Callithrix jacchus: one gene and its partner. The protein of the gene in region 2 binds, or shares a complex with, the protein of the main gene of each other region. Links are inferred from orthologs where the notes say so. Each region holds a gene or a part of one and is shown on either strand. Other genes may lie near its edges.

Region 1 (3,655 bases), on a different chromosome or scaffold from region 2:
TTTACAAAAATTCTGCCAGAGTTAATTCCTAAGAAACCATGGCCATATAGTATGAGTCTACGGTGAATACTTTTAAGTAATATCCATGAAGACATTTCTTCTCATTTCTTTTGTGATTAAATGCTTATTATAACTTTACTGATGGTATGCCTATATATTTGAGTACATCCAAAGTGATTTGGACATGTGTACTCTTTTATGGGAGGAAACGAAATAGATTGATTTAAGATGCTGGCATTTTAAATACGACTCGACCTCTGAAAATGTCTTCATTTTTTGCAGTTTCCTACAAAAGTTTCTTGGTTAATGCATTAAACTAAATACTATGAGCCAGGCACGGTGCCTCTGGATTGTCATCCCAGCACCTTGAGAGGCTGAAGTGGATGAATTACTTGAGCCCAGGAGTTTCAGATCAGTTTGGACAATATGGCGAAAGTCCATCTCTACAAAAATACAAAAATTAGCCAGGCCCATAATCTCAGCTACCTCGGAGGCTGAGGTGGGAGGATTGCCTGGGCCTGGGAGGTCAAGGCTGTGGTGAGCAGAGATTGCACCACCGCACTTCAGCCTGGGTGACAGAGCAAGACCCTGTCTTAAATAAATAAGTCTCTTAGTCGAATTGATTCACAGTAGTCTATTTTTTGTTCTCTGAAATGATAGGTTTATTACAAAGCTCAGCTGGGAAGAGCTACTGCTTTAAGTGTAACCCCTGAAATGGAAAGAGTGAAGAAGAACCAAGAAAATATTAGCTCGGCAAGTGGTTTTCTTCATTTTAGACTATCACAAAGGATGTGTCTTTTACTATTTACTTGCAGTCCTCTTTTGCTTGTGAAAAGAAACTTTATTTTCAAGAAACATCTGTGGTATGTCCAATAAATACATGTGTTATTTCAGATGATGTCCAAAAGCTGCCACTGCGTACATTTACATTCTCTTGCAACTCTTTGGTATTTCCAGATGTGACCAAGAGTTACATTCAAAGCTTTGTTTAGAAGTGTTTGTTTAAACAGCGATTTATGCTGTTTTAGCCAGTGTCTTTGAAAGTGATAACGCCTTTGATGTGTGCATTAAATAATTGTCGTTTTACTGAAATATTTCGATGAATGTGTATTGTCAAATGCTGTCTGCAAAACAGAATAGGAGGTGAATACTTTTACTAAAGACTTAGAGAAAAAAATCCTTAAATACATTTAACATAGAATTTAGTTGCTCATTAAAGTCCAGTGGTGCATATTAGCATCTTATTTGAATATTGTGCTTCCTCTTAGTGAATATCAGAGCTTCAATTCTGAATTGGACACAATGCCCTCAGGTCAACATAAGTGGTATCCAAATCTTACACCTAATCAGTTTCATAAATGGCAGTGTTCTGATGGGCAGCTGTTAAGAACACAGGCCCTTTTCTTAGCACACCTTGAATAGCTGTTTGCCTGAGAATCAGCATTTGGCCTTTGCAGTTTACAGCTTCCTAGTGGCATGTCTGTCCAGAGATGCTGTGTGTATTTAACATAAATTACTTTTAAGTTGTGTCTGCTTAGAAGAACAACGAAATTTGTTCCTCATTGCTTCTTACTCTCTAAGCAGAGAAGAAATGAAAAGAAATAGAGAGTAGGTTGTATGCATTTTTCAATAGTGTTATGGTAGAAAATGGGGAAATTTAGAAACAAAATAACTTTGGGTTCTGTTTAATAGTTTTGGATTTTCTCTGTTTAACTTAAATATGATAACCAGTTGTGTGTGTGTGTGTGTGTGTGTGTGTGTGTTTGAGTTTGAGACACAGTCTTTGTTGGAGGCTGGAGTGCAATAGCACAATCATAGCTCATTGCAGCTTTGAATTTTTGGGCTCAAGCAGCTGCCCTGTCTTAACCTCTCTAGTAGCTGGGACTACAGGCACAAGCCCAACTAATTTTTAAAAAAATTTTTACTTGTAGAGTTGGGGAACCTCACGATGCCTCCCAGACTGGTCTCAAACCCCAGGCCTGGAGTAATCCTCCCACCTTAGCTTTCCAGAGTTCCGTAATTACAGGCATGAGCCACTGGGCCTGCCCAGTTTTACAGATTAGATAGTTACTCTTGATCATTCACACATTTGTTTTCAGTTGATAGATTTAGGTCATTTTGCAATAGGTGTTAAAGGCGATCTTTGAGTGTAAAATTTGAGTTTTGCTATTCTAGAACAAAATTTAATTCACTGAAAAAGTGACCTGGAAAATAATTTCAAGTATGTTGCATATGTTTCCCTCATTCATAAAGCTTAAAAAAGTTATATCCTGCGTTTTCCTTTCATTGCCTTATGTCTACTATTTACTTTTCAGGTAAAATATACCCAGGACCATAAACAGATGAAAGGTAGACCAAGTCAGATGTTAGATACACCTGCTATGAGACATGTTAAAGAAGCACAAAATCGTATTTCAATGGTAGGGTGCAACCAGATCATTCTTCTCATGACTAAAGCATGCTAAGGAATGGCCGGACCCAGTGAACTGATGGCATTACTTCACTATTAATCTGATAACTAACAAAGCATGGAAACGCAGTCGGCCTGACCTTCGTGTGTGTGTGGGGTGGGGGCTGCATTTCTAATCACACTGAAATGTAATGGAAATATTTGGTCTAATAAAATCATTTTTCTCAGTGACTTTTTCTGGCGTGTCTTTGTTTCTAATGTGAGTATTATAAACGCATTATATGAAAGACTTTTCTGTAGACTTCTTTCCATTTAATTTTAAGACAGAATTTGGTCTGTTTGCATGTCAAAAAGAATATGAAAAAAAGTGTGTTTTTAAAAAATTATAATATCGGGTGTAATTCACCTACCATAAAGTTTGCCCATTTAAAGTGTTCAATTCAGTGGTTTCTAGTATAATTTACAGTTATACAACTGTCTCCTGGACCTAATTTCAGGATGTGAAAATAGTATATTTTGAAGTATAAGTTTTGTAATTATATTAAAAATTGTGTATATCATAACCTATAAAATTTTAAACTAATTTTAAATAATGCCATTTTCATAAATGATTGTCTGGAAATTGATATCACTTTATTGTATATTGAAGGTTAAGAGATAGGAAATTTAATTTATACTTGTTAGTATATTTTAGGTAGTAACCAGGATTTGAGAATATGTATCTTTTACAACCTCTCACTAATAATATATGTAGTTTTGTATATAATTTAAAATAGATATGAGCTATAATGATTAAAAACATTGTGAAAATATCAGCATTTGATTTCAGATGCTAAGAAACTGAAGCTTCAGACTGTGGTTTTGGAATATTTGGAAAAGATACATACATGTAGAAAATCTGCATGCAGCCAGTACAGTGTACACCTGTCATTTAATCAAAATGTCATGAGATAGGTGACTATCAGCAACTTTCAGCATGATGATTTTTCCTCTTCAGGTAAAATACCATGAAGATTTTGAAAAGACAAAGGGGAGAGGCTTTACTCCTGTTGTGGACGATCCTGTGACAGAGAGAGTGAGGAAGAACACCCAGGTGGTCAGCGATGCTGCCTATAAGGGGGTCCACCCTCACATCGTGGAGATGGACAGGAGACCTGGAATCATTGTTGGTAAGCTGACGGTCTTTCTCGGCAGGTGTGTGTGGTCAAAAAGATTGTGCTTGCTCTAGCTTCAGAATTATCCTCT
Region 2 (4,215 bases):
TATTACTGTCAAAGCTATGTTGAAATCCTGTGATTTAAATCACTATTGTCCAATAGACTGTTCTGCAATGTTGGAAACATTTTGTATCTGCACTAATACATAGCTACTGTCCACATGTGGAGACTGATTTGCTTGAAATGTAGCTGAAGAAATAAATTTTTAATTTTACCTAATTTTAATAAATTAAAATTTAAATGGCCACATGTGCCTAATAGCAATCATACTTTGAAGCAGAACTCTAAATGGTCTTTACTGGCTCCTGGCCCTGAACACTTTGTGGAGTATATAGAACACTATTTCAGAAACTTGTTCTTAGAGTTAATATGCTAGAATATCACTTCTTGACCTACTTTTAACAAAAACCAATATTGTATATGGAAAAATGTAATATACCTACTGATTGGTTAATAATATAGTAAACAGCTTACAAATAGGCATTTTATATGAGATAAAAGGTATATAGGTCAAATTTTTTTTAGCCAAAGGACAATTTCCTTTCTTTATTTGAGTTTGTTGTTAGATCACACCATACTAGGCAAGTCATAGAAGGGAGGAAAGATAAAGGAAGCTGGTTATTTTCTATTTACTGAGAAGGTACGAGATGTTGGCATTTTTGAGCCAAACAGCAATGCTCACTGGGTTCTGGGTCAGATTGGCAGCGTGTGCTTGGTAAGTCCTGGCAGCAAAGAACATTTAATATGTTTCTTTCAAGAGCATGTGAGGTGACTCCTTTTCCCGGCCTGCTCTTCCTCACGCTGAATGATTTAAAGCTAGGATTAATGAGCAGGACTCATACCGCAAGGGTGCTCTCTATTCTCTCTAGAATGTCTTTCCACCATTCTTCCTTTGCTTTTTTAAACTAACCCAGCACAGTCTTTACTTAAGTTAGCACTGGAGTAGCATTTTGCTTTATATGTGAAGTCTGACAAAACAAACTAATGTTTTACATATCTATGAACACATTGTCAAAAAAAAGCAATGTGTCCTCTTCACGAGAACCCCTGTTAATTATTCCACCAGAATAAATTGAAACTTTTTCCACCTGCTTTATTTTCATATTCTTGAGTCTTAAAAGATTGAAAGTTAAAAAAAATGCAAGTAATTCTGGGATGTTAATTCCTCCTTTTCCTCACTGGCACTGGTTCATTTGTAGACTTTGGACAGAAGTTCAGAGTTGGCTGGTGGTCGTGACTGCCAAAGAGAGTTTGATTGACTGCACATGTGTTAGAGCCACGCATACATTACTGAGGACACTATGAGGCAGAGTGGCCTCAGAGACACTTGTCTGAAAAGAGTACTTGACTCAGGCCCCACCTATACAGAGCTCAGTTACTAAAAATAGGTGCTAAGTTGCATCCTTTAGAAGCGCTGCTAAAATAAATTCAGCCGTCCCCTCTACTTGCTTGATAGACCCTTCAGTGGAGCGGGCCTCCACTGCACCCATTGCTTTCAGGGGACTGGGAAATTTGCTGTATATGAAACAAGGGAGGAAGCTAGTCTGTGAAGAACTATAAAGATTTAGGATACTTCCGCAAGCTTGGGGTTAAACCTAAATATCATAAAAGGTAAGTGTAATATAGTCGGTGACTATGTGTCTGCTTCCTGGATTGTAAAATGGTCTTGCTGGTCAGAAGACCATAGGTCAAATTGTAATTATTATAAAAGAAAATATCCAATTGGATTGTGCCTGTATGATAATATTTAGCATTGATTTAACAGGATAAAAATTTTGAGCTTCATATGTTCATCTCTTGGCAGAATAGCATTTTTCATATTTAATATTGAAGAATAATGAGCCAAACTTGATAAACAGTCATGAGTTAAAATTCTACTTCAACTTACAAATAGAAGGGAAGGCAGAGAAAAAATTAGTTTGCCACTTATGGGCAGAAATGAAATGAACATATTAAAAAATATAAATCGTATTTCACAGAATTTGTTGAGAAAGAGTTTACAACATTTTCAACTGTTGTAGCTTGCTCAGAGAAATGCATGAACATTATCGTTTTCCAGCCTTACTTTGCTTTTGTGGTTCTTGCTCCAGCCAGAGTCTCATCTCCTCTGGGAGTATTACTGGAGTAAGATTAAAGAATCAGGTTCTTACATGTTTTGCAGAATTAAGAAAAGCACTGCCAGTTGGGTCTGCCAGTCCTAATTATAGTAACTACAACCTTAAATAGAGAAGACTGAGATTTTACTTTAAAGATATCCTGCCCTATACACTGTTTCAAATGGATTTTTTTTTCTCTCTTCGATTGCCTGTGAGCACTTTAATTTGGTCCTATTGTGTCTTAAGTGTTTAGACGTTAGAGACTGAAGTGATTTGGGAGAGACATTTTAACAGAATCTCTTAAGACACCAACTAAAAGCAAGGACACTTTAAGATTACATAATACAGGGTTTTAATTTAGCCAGCTGGTGCTGAACCAAAAGATATTTTATTTTTACCAGTGCTCTATTTGGTCACTGACAAGCTGTAGATTGTTTGAATTATTTTAAAATTTTATGTGCAGTGTGTCAAAGAACAGGCAAAATATTTACCTTGGTGAGATTCATAGCCATGAATTTTAATATGAAAGAGCACCTGTTTTGAGTTTTAGAAGATAAGATTATTGAGTGCAAAAGTATTGGGTCAGAAATGAGAAAACGCTGAATTCTATGCTTAAGTATTTCTCTGTTCCTCTGCCTAATTTTTGCGTATTTTTTCTTCTGGCTAGCAACGTGTAAGCTAACAACTAGACCCACCCGTTTCTGAAAGTCAGTCCTCATTTCAGATGGCTGCACTGGCAAAGTACCAGTTGTTTGGGAAAAATGCAGTCTGGAGTTTGGGCTAAATATTTCTGCTTTCATCTTGTGTTGTGCACCTTTAAGATATAGCTTCCCTTAACCACCTGAAAAATAAAATGAGACATTCTTTTATGATCTCAGAGGGCTTTACTTGGGAAAATGTTCATAGAAAACTGTCAGTTCAGACATCATTTTATCTGTGATTACAGTGGAAGAGGACAGTGTTGCCTTTCTTCAGCTTTAATTTGGGGTTAAAATCCCACAAAGTTCATGGATAATGTACTGTTGTTCACAGTTGATACCTTCCCTCTATTCTATCAGTTCCAGCCTCTCACTTTACCTTTACCATGTTTAAAACTTTCTTCACCTTAGTATTCTTATTACTTACTCAGTAAAATACTACTTACAATGAGGCAATGTGGAGTTGGACACTCCTGGTAATGTCAATACTAGGAACTGATCTCTCTCTCTCTCTCTCTCTCTCTCTCTCTCTCACACACACACACACACACACACACACACACATACACACACACACACACACACATACACAAACACAACTCAGGGTATTAAAGAGACCATTTTGTAAGCCTTGTTTGATTGCTAGGAGTCATGTCTAGATTTAGTAATTTATAAAGCAGGGCAGACTCTTAATAAGTGCCCAGCCTATAATTCCAATATTTTTTATTAAACAATCTGTGAAGACAGAACTTAATTGACATTATATTGTCTTTTTTATTTTCTTCCCACCTCCTCTTATGAAAGCACTGAAGCTACACTCTGAAATTTAATTAAATTGTAATGTGTTTCTTCCTGCTTCTGAAACAAACACTTGCTCATTCAAATCATAGGTTCACCCCTCACAGAACAGTAACGTCAATTTTTAAATTAATTAATGACTTCTTTAGAGCACTGATTTATTCCATATAGGTGCATGTTGTTTATATGACTGTGTGGCATGTTGTATTATCTGTTTCCTGACACTAATTCTGATATTAAGTGTTGTGTCTTTTACAACATTAGCCAATTCTCTAAGTCTCTGACACCAACAGGCTGTCATTCAGTTCTGACACTAGATCTAGAGCTTGGCAAAGACTCCACACGTAGAAGGCTCAGTCCCATAAGGCTGCCTACTTCAGAAGACAACCACTAATGGAGTGCCCAGGCCACTAATCTTTCTGCCCATCTAACTAGTGATTAAGGGACCCTCACAACCCCCTCCTCAGATAATTCGCTAGAATGGCTCACGGAACTCAGAAAAATATTCTATTTGTTATTACTGTTATATTATAGAGGAACAGACAGATGGAAGAGATGCATAAGGCAAGGTGTGGTATTGAAGGGCAGAAGCACACAGCTACCTTGCTTTCTCCTAACAAGCCATCCCCAGCACCTGGGTGCCTTCATCAATCTGGCAGCTCACCAAGC

Evidence for each region. Proteins that work in one complex are often made in the same cells at the same time.
Region 1: the proteins of XIRP2 (region 2) and NEBL are in contact, whole or in part, in a crystal structure (PDB 4F14), measured with the Homo sapiens proteins. The link is inferred for Callithrix jacchus from reciprocal best matches to the Homo sapiens genes XIRP2 and NEBL. Residues at the interface, in NP_689594.4 of Homo sapiens: Pro2420, Pro2421, Pro2422, Thr2423, Leu2424, Pro2425, Lys2426, Pro2427; in NP_006384.1 of Homo sapiens: Tyr963, Asp964, Tyr965, Asp969, Asp971, Glu972, Ile987, Asp988, Asp989, Gly990, Trp991, Met1004, Pro1006, Asn1008, Tyr1009.

What each region holds. Positions count from the first base shown.
Region 1 is NC_133508.1:21,399,947-21,403,601, reverse strand, and holds part of NEBL (nebulette), read left to right. Parts: intron 1-660; coding exon 661-753; intron 754-2,315; coding exon 2,316-2,420; intron 2,421-3,407; coding exon 3,408-3,579; intron 3,580-3,655. UniProt on the Homo sapiens protein: Binds to actin and plays an important role in the assembly of the Z-disk. May functionally link sarcomeric actin to the desmin intermediate filaments in the heart muscle sarcomeres.
Region 2 is NC_133507.1:62,424,028-62,428,242, reverse strand, and holds the start of XIRP2 (xin actin-binding repeat-containing protein 2), read left to right. Parts: upstream 1-1,405; 5' UTR 1,406-1,565; intron 1,566-4,215.